Linked DNA regions of Saccharomyces cerevisiae S288C. The protein of the gene in region 1 binds, or shares a complex with, the protein of each later gene. Each region holds a gene or a part of one and is shown on either strand. Other genes may lie near its edges.

Region 1 (2,708 bases):
ATAAACAGTTCTACTTGGGGCCGATGTAAAATTCAAAGGATTATTGGCTTGTGCATTAACTGGTAAAGGCGCATTTGCGTTGGTTACTGCAGTTGCAGTTGCCATAATAGTGGGTGACATGCCATCAGATAACACATTTGGATTCTCATCATCAAAAGGAGAGACTTCATTTGATGACCTTTCATATTCATAATAACGATTGTTATTGTGGACAACTTCGTTATCAATTTCGAAATTTTGTTCCTGTGAAAACCGTTGCTGTTGTGAATCATTTCGCTGCTTTGTCTGGAATTGAGTTGGTTGCTGTTGAATACGCTGATAATCAAAAATTCCGTCATTCTCGTAAAAGAACGAATCATTAGGCTCTCGTGTAAAGTCGGATGGTAAAAGAGTAAAATTACCATTCATAGGATACACAGCATCGCCAAAGTTTTGAGGGCCACTCGCATAAGTTTCTTGGTAAGGGCCGGAAGAACTGGACTGTTGATACATTGCAAAGTCATCGGAAGAAGGAAAAGGAGGGAACATGTTATTATTGTTATTATTATTACTGATATTATTATTGTTATTGTTATTGTTATTGTTATTATTATTGTTATAAGAAACCACCATGTTTTAATGCAATTGAAGTAGTATGTGATGGTGAAGAAAAAAAAAAATACAACGATAGTTCTTTGTTTTTCTTTAGGAAATATCTGAATAGAAAAGGCTTCAACGACCAGAATTGAAAAAATAAAATAGTATTAGCAAAGAAAAATATGATATTTTTTTTCAAAAAAAAAAAGAGTGTCCTTGAGAATTGAAGTTGGAAACGGATATTAATTAGACAAAAAAAATGATGAAGAAAGATAAAGTGAAAAATATGAGGCTGGAATGGACAGTTGAACCAATTAAGGAGCCTAATTGGTAAAGCAGAACAGGTGAGTCAGAAGACTTAAAAAGGGGCAAATATCAAATAACGGAAGAACGAAGAAAATAGAAGAATACAATGTTCAAAAGAAATGAAGCGTATGTGTATCTAAAGGAAAGGTACAGAGACTATCAGTTCTAGAAATTGTAAATTGGTAAAATAAACAGAGAAAGGAAGCTTAAGGAGAGAATTCAGTGGGGAATGTGACTCTGTGAAAATAATGTATAAGAGTGGGCAACGGTGTTCTCGTAGATATAGCGCTGTGCTGAACCAAGTTTAGTTTTTTTTACTTTCCACCAAAGGCAAAGAAACTGATTAATTTATTGCTGTGACGAAGGGATGGAGTATGATTGCGGTTGTGACTGAATCTCTTTGTAGACTTTCGGACAACCACAAGATCCACTTTCTGGTAAAGTTAATTTCAAGATCGTGTTTTTTTCTGTCTTTTCTTTCTCTTCTCATAGCCAAAATCGTACCACAAGGAAAAAAAGCACCGGGTTACCATGATGGTGGAATCCCACTGTAAGAACATAAGAATGATAAGTACGCAACTGCCACGGCAGTTGGAAGAAAGACATAGTCTGCCCTCATTCGGCGTGTATTATTGGACGTCAAGTTACCTTTTCCAAGTGTTTCCCTTTTTTGTCTTTTGAATTTGTCAATAGGGAGTGAAAGGTCCATAGTTCAAGGGCATTCCAAAAGTGAGGATAAAAAAAGCGTAGTCATAAACACTTCAACGGTGTTGCCGAGAATGACGACGGTCCGGTAGAAGGTGGTGCTTTTATCTATGTATTAGTTATTTACTATCTGCGTAACGAAACTATGATTTTTTTTTTCTCTCACCCAAGCCGAAATTAAAAATTCTGTCTTCGCACTTATTCCAAATAGAAAGGGAATGAATCGTGGAACTATTGGCATTGGGATATAGCCTCGATCTACTCGCATATAACGGCTACGGTTCATAGTACAAATCTCAGAATTTTTCAGCAAGCGAAAGGATTTCAAAGAATGTTTTTACAGACTCTCCGCCTAACTATGCCAAGGATGTTTTTGCACATGAAACCGTCCCCCATAACGATAACAAGGGCCTGCACAGTGCCCAGCCTCCTATCTGTTGCAGCTCCGCAACCAGCTCTTGTTGCAGCTAACAGACCTTTGGTTTTTAACAGAGGTTTCAAGGTCAGAACATCTGTCAAAAAGTTCTGCAGTGATTGCTACTTGGTAAGAAGAAAGGGAAGAGTATACATTTATTGCAAGTCGAATAAAAAACACAAACAGCGTCAAGGCTGAAAGATGTAAATCTCTTCGCTGTTCTCCGTTCGGGTGTTTACAAAATATTCTCATTTTCTAAAATCTGTAAATAATACATATCTATAATATTCTTTTATGTATATGTTAATTTTTTGTATCATTTTTTCCAAATTGATAAACCAACACCTCCGATCAGTAACGTTTTCTCAGAATCAGCATCTTCATCATTGGAAATGATTTCTAATGATCCTGTATCCGCCACAGTGGTACGCTTTTTATCTACCAGTGAAAGCTTGCCTGCGGTAATTTCCCAAGCGCGTATTACTTGATCAACCGATGTGGTAATGACTTCTTTGCCACCATTAATCAACATACCGGACGTTATTGTCGAAGAAGCTGCTGCAGCGATAAAGTCACTTGTTTTTAACGTTACTTTATTCGAGTCATCTAATTTCAGGTTGCTTAACCCTAAACCATTATCATCACCCCCTGTCAAAATTGTGGCGGAAGTTCTTGTAGCATTAGCAACATAGTCTAGGGACTTGAC
Region 2 (2,697 bases), on another chromosome or scaffold:
GTTGAGTACGACCACCCAGGATATCAATGAAACAATCGAAGGCGTTAAAAATACGGTTAAATTGAAAAAATCGTCCGCTAGAAGGAAATTGGAAGAACTAAATAGAGTTCTGAAAAACAATCCATATTTCAATTCAAATGTGAACGTACAGAATTCGAGACTCAAAGATGCTGTACCGTTCACGCCGTTTAACGGTGATAGAGAAGCACACCCAAGGTTTACGTTGAAAGGTTCAGTATACAATGACCCATTCATCAAAGATCTTGAGCACAGGAAAGAATTTATTGCGTCTGGGTTCAACACTAATTATGCGTACGAAAGGGTGTTGACAGAGGCATTTATGGGCTTAGGATGTGTTATATCCGAGGAGCTTTAAAACATCAGGATAGTGTGCAACGTGGCATAAGCTATGTAATCAACTACTTTTTATTTTCTATGTACGCATATACATGCATTCACGATCTGTTTCAGTGTTCAGAAAAAAGGCACCTACTGCTACGGTTGGCCCATACCTTTATTCTTTGTTCTTGTTACAAACGAGTGTGTAATTACCCAAAAAGGAAATTTACATGTTAAATGAAACCCAGTAATCAGAAAAAACAGTTAAGAAACCTAAAATGGTAGAGATAAAGATACAGATTCAGTGGTTGCTGAAAATCAAGTAAAAAAATGAAATAGAGTCTTCATATATAAACCGCCAGAAATGAATTAATGAGAGGGATCTGTAACTGTTTCTCGGATAAAACCAAAATAAGTACAAAGCCATCGAATAGAAATGCAACCATCTACCGCTACCGCCGCTCCAAAAGAAAAGACCAGCAGTGAAAAGAAGGACAACTATATTATCAAAGGTGTCTTCTGGGACCCAGCATGTGTTATTGCTTAGTTTCTGCGTACAAAAACGTTGTTCTCCCTCCTTTATCTTCCTTTTCCGCTACACCAATATATCATGTTTGTTCGTAATATTTCTTTTTAGACCTAATAATAAATATCCTAAGTAACTATATTATATAAAATATTTTGATACCCTGTACCTGCTTTTGTTATCGTTGTACATCCATGCACACGCTCATATATATATATATATATATATATATGTATATGTACATATACCGCTTACCACCTACCGTGAAGTATATGTAAGGGTCTTCGCACCCGGATATCCCTTGTGGGATCTTGGATGCGGATGGTGAGTGTAAACAGGCCTCATAAAGCTGTCTCTGTGTGCGGAAGATGTCGTTTCATCGGCTTCGACCTCCTCCTTATCTTGCTTCATTGTTTCTTCGTAAGAGGGCGGATCTACGGGCAGCGGGGTCGCTGTCTCCTTGTATGCATGCTTATTTATATCACTCTTTCCGCTATCCATCATAATCTGTTTTTGTTTATGTGCTTTGAATACTCAACACATAAAATAATATCCAGTTAATTGTCGTCTGTCCATTGACGCTTTGCCTTTGTCCCTTTAGACTGTCTTTATTGTGAAATATGCACGGCTGAGAATTACGTATACAGTGACTATCGTATGGGGCGACAAAAGTTCCCAGCGAGAAACAAGATGAAGCAGACTGGGGCCTGCCTGTATGGAGGGAAGCATAAGTTAATATACCTCCAGATATTTGCAGATTAGGATACTGAACTGACGAAGACCTACGCTACACAACGAAGATAACACATGCTGGCACAAACATTCAAAAAACCACACAGAGCCGTTCTAGAACAGGTATCTGGGACCACGGTCTTCATCAGAAATAAGAGAACAAAGAGCAAGAGCTCACTGTCACCTTTGGCACAAAGGGTCGTCACGCAGTTGAGTGTGATGTCTGCAAGCAGAAAGCAGCCCAAGTTGCTGAAGCTGGCGCGTGAAGACCTGATTAAACATCAGACCATTGAGAAGTGTTGGTCAATTTATCAGCAGCAACAACGGGAGCGCAGAAATTTACAGTTGGAATTACAATATAAGAGCATTGAGAGATCTATGAACCTTCTACAAGAACTCAGCCCTCGTCTGTTTGAGGCTGCCAATGCTTCCGAGAAGGGCAAGCGATTCCCGATGGAAATGAAGGTGCCCACTGACTTCCCCCCAAATACGTTATGGCATTATAACTTCCGAAAATGATAGCGTGAGCGAACGCTTGACTGTCTCCTGCTGTAAATAACTGATGATCAATAGAATGCCACGTATATATGGACTTATATAATTATATGTACATAGACATATAAAGGGCATGTGGTAATTATGACATGAACTGTATCACTATTGACGTTTTTTTTACTGCTTTTTCCCATCCCTGCAAGCGAAAAAAAAAGCAAGCTGACTCTTGTATAAACTGCAAGGACTCATTGATTAAAAGTAGATTTACATTACAGACTAAAGGAAAAGGCAAACTATACCGGCTATACCACATTCGTTCAAAAATGCCCTCTACCACGCTACTGTTTCCGCAGAAACATATTAGGGCCATTCCAGGCAAGATATACGCGTTCTTCAGAGAGCTCGTCAGCGGAGTTATTATATCCAAGCCAGATCTAAGTCATCATTATTCTTGTGAAAATGCGACAAAGGAGGAAGGCAAAGATGCAGCAGATGAAGAAAAGACTACCACAAGTTTGTTTCCCGAATCAAATAATATAGACCGTTCTTTAAATGGTGGCTGCTCTGTGATCCCTTGCTCCATGGATGTCAGCGATTTGAACACG
Region 3 (2,674 bases), on another chromosome or scaffold:
GTTCCCAAGAACATAATGAGTATATTCTACAATATTTGACGCACTCCGATGCTGCTAACCACAATAACATCGGCGTTCCAAACAACAATTCACATTCGCTAAATACTCAGCATAACGTTTCTGATCTGGGCAACTCACTTTTAAGACAAGAAGCTTTAGTTGGCAGCTCTTCAACAAAAATCTTCGACGAATTGAAATTTGTACAAAATGGCCCACACGGTTCTCAACATCCTATAGATTTTCAACATGTTGACCATCGTCATCTCAGCTCTAATGAACCTCAAGTACGATCACATCAATATGGTCCGCAACAGCAGCCACCGCAGCAATTGCAATATCACCAAAATCAGCCCCACGACGGCCATAACCACGAACAGCACCAAACAGTACAAAAGGATATGCAAACGCATGAATCGCTAGAAATAATGGGAAACACATTATTGGAAGAGTTCAAAGACATTAAAATGGTGAACGGCGAGTTGAAGTATGTGAAGCCAGAAGATTAGCATATAGATGAAATCAAACTTAGACGTATCTCTCGTCCATTTTCATTACATTTTCATCTTTCTTCATTAATTATATACTGAACATATACGCATCTATACAATTTTGACTTTTTAAAGAAGAAAAAGAAAACAATAGTATACATTCTTTTTTCTACTTTTGTTACAGATAAAAAATCGTTCTTATTATATTACATATATCGGTGCTAAGATCAGGATTTTTTCATGTTCCTTCCCCCTGTTATTTCACATCATCCTTTTGCCGGTAGATTAGGCTGGTGTAAATAGTAGTGCTTTTCTCATACATACAAGACATACGTGAAGATAAGTCCCATTTTCTCTCCCTCTGTCATTAATTTTGAAAGTTCGTTGAGCACTCATGAAAACTGCGTCCTTTTGTTTTTTTGATCTGAAGTAAATATGTGTGAGCAAGATAAGCACACAAAGAATAAAACCATCGAAGTATCCTTTCTTCTTTGTTGTGATTGAAAAAACACATTTTCCCGAGAGTGACATTTGGGACATTCTCTATCAGATCTCGGAAGAGTGGGATCGGAACCAATATCTTGCACCACTCCCGCAGTTTCACCAATGTTGGTAATCAATTCATGCCTGTAGACCAATGGACTGCCCGCTTCTTCTACATACGAGCATGTTCTGCATTCAAATAACAACCGGTTATTTTCTTTATCCTCACGAGGGTACAACATATTGTTGCAGTCACGACAAAATCTAAACGTAGTCATAGCAGTTTTAAGGGGAGTTTAACTTGCTCTTTTGGCTAGATTTTGTAACTTTCGTTCTACCTAGAATCTGCTCTTGTTCCATTTGACTTACTCTTTAACGCTATTCACCAAAACAAAATTTTTCAACTTACCCGCCCTATGTCTTGAAGTCCAATAAAACAACTCAAACTAATGGCAAACAAGAACTCGGTAAGTTCTGGAAGGAACAGGACAAGCAGCCCGTCAGCAGCAAACACAGTCAATTAAATAAGCGCCCAGTATGTCCTTACGTATACTAGCGAAGAGATCTTCTTCTATCTGGATGAAAACGCGCGTTACACCAGCGCTAATTTCTCCTATTACTATCACAACCCGTTTCAATTCTACGACTACAACAGCACCATCACATAAGGATGATGTAAGGCCAGTTGATCCTAAAATTTCTAAAATTGTACAGGACATTTCACAATTGACTCTTTTGGAAACTTCCAGTTTAATCAACGAGCTGAAAACCGTATTGAACATTCCAGAAATTTCCATGCCTATGGGCGGATTCATGGCAGGCGCTGCAGGCGCAGGTGCTGGTAATGTACCTAGCTCCACTGGTGAAGCTGGTAGTGGTGCTGAAGAAGAAGCTAAGCCTGAGGCAAAGACCGTGTTTACGGTGAAGTTGGACTCGTTCGACACGAAGACTAAGGCTAAAGTCATCAAGGAAGTCAAGGGATTATTGGGGCTTTCATTAGTTGAAGCTAAGAAATTCGTTGAAGCTGCACCAAAGGTCTTGAAAGAAAATGTCGCCAAGGATGATGCTGAAAAGATTAAGAAAACCTTGGAAGACTTAGGAGCTAAGGTCAGTTTAGAATGATTTTAAAACTGTAGCAATCTACCAATCGTGTTAATCAAAATAGTCTGTTTTCTCTTCGAGAAAATAAGGAATATATCATGTAAATATGTTTAACTCTTTATTCTTCTTTCGTCCTGCCTTTTATATATTTTGCCACATCGCTTCTTGCAAGTAGATGTATAAAAATGATTGATTTCCTTATTATTTTCTATAGTATCTTCAACTTCATTATGGCATTCGTTTTCGTGTTATAAGTATTTCAGACGGGCTAATCTATCACTTCATAAATCTACTTTTCCAACTTACAAAAGCGGTTGCTTTTCTTCGAAATATAAAGCCCACCAACCATAAGAATAAAGAACAAGAGCAGGAGCGAAACGAAAGAGAAGATAAAGATTGTACCTTTTTGCTCCTGATTTTTTTTTGATTACGCTACGGTTAGTTGAGAGAATGTCCACTGCTGTGACTTTTTTTGGCCAGCATGTCTTGAACAGAGTTTCGTTCTTAAGATGTTCGAAAGAGTTCATCAAAAAATCATTGAACCATGACTCTACCGTTTTTATCCCATTTATCGAAGGGGAAGCCCTCATTTCGCCCGAAAA

The links. The genes of interacting proteins can lie anywhere in the genome.
Region 2: RTC6 (region 1) and MRPL28 share a complex: the UniProt entries of both Saccharomyces cerevisiae proteins name them as parts of the mitochondrial large ribosomal subunit.
Region 3: RTC6 (region 1) and MNP1 share a complex: the UniProt entries of both Saccharomyces cerevisiae proteins name them as parts of the mitochondrial large ribosomal subunit.

Annotation. Positions count from the first base shown.
Region 1 is NC_001148.4:197,177-199,884, forward strand, and holds RTC6 (mitochondrial 54S ribosomal protein bL36m RTC6), read left to right. Parts: upstream 1-1,918; coding exon 1,919-2,200; downstream 2,201-2,708. Other genes in the region: MRN1 (Mrn1p), read right to left, coding at 1-612; tRNA (34-2'-O)-methyltransferase regulator RTT10, read right to left, coding at 2,319-2,708. UniProt on the Saccharomyces cerevisiae protein: Component of the mitochondrial ribosome (mitoribosome), a dedicated translation machinery responsible for the synthesis of mitochondrial genome-encoded proteins, including at least some of the essential transmembrane subunits of the mitochondrial respiratory chain.
Region 2 is NC_001136.10:1,384,401-1,387,097, forward strand, and holds MRPL28 (mitochondrial 54S ribosomal protein mL40 MRPL28), read left to right. Parts: upstream 1-1,672; coding exon 1,673-2,116; downstream 2,117-2,697. Other genes in the region: TFIIH/NER complex subunit TFB3, read left to right, coding at 1-376; MFA1 (mating pheromone a), read left to right, coding at 776-886; CMI8 (Cmi8p), read right to left, coding at 1,124-1,366; STP1 (Stp1p), read left to right, coding at 2,416-2,697. UniProt on the Saccharomyces cerevisiae protein: Component of the mitochondrial ribosome (mitoribosome), a dedicated translation machinery responsible for the synthesis of mitochondrial genome-encoded proteins, including at least some of the essential transmembrane subunits of the mitochondrial respiratory chain.
Region 3 is NC_001139.9:373,579-376,252, forward strand, and holds MNP1 (mitochondrial 54S ribosomal protein bL12m MNP1), read left to right. Parts: upstream 1-1,508; coding exon 1,509-2,093; downstream 2,094-2,674. Other genes in the region: DNA-binding transcription factor AFT1, read left to right, coding at 1-506; DNA-directed RNA polymerase II core subunit RPB9, read right to left, coding at 881-1,249; NPY1 (NAD(+) diphosphatase), read left to right, coding at 2,523-2,674. UniProt on the Saccharomyces cerevisiae protein: Component of the mitochondrial ribosome (mitoribosome), a dedicated translation machinery responsible for the synthesis of mitochondrial genome-encoded proteins, including at least some of the essential transmembrane subunits of the mitochondrial respiratory chain.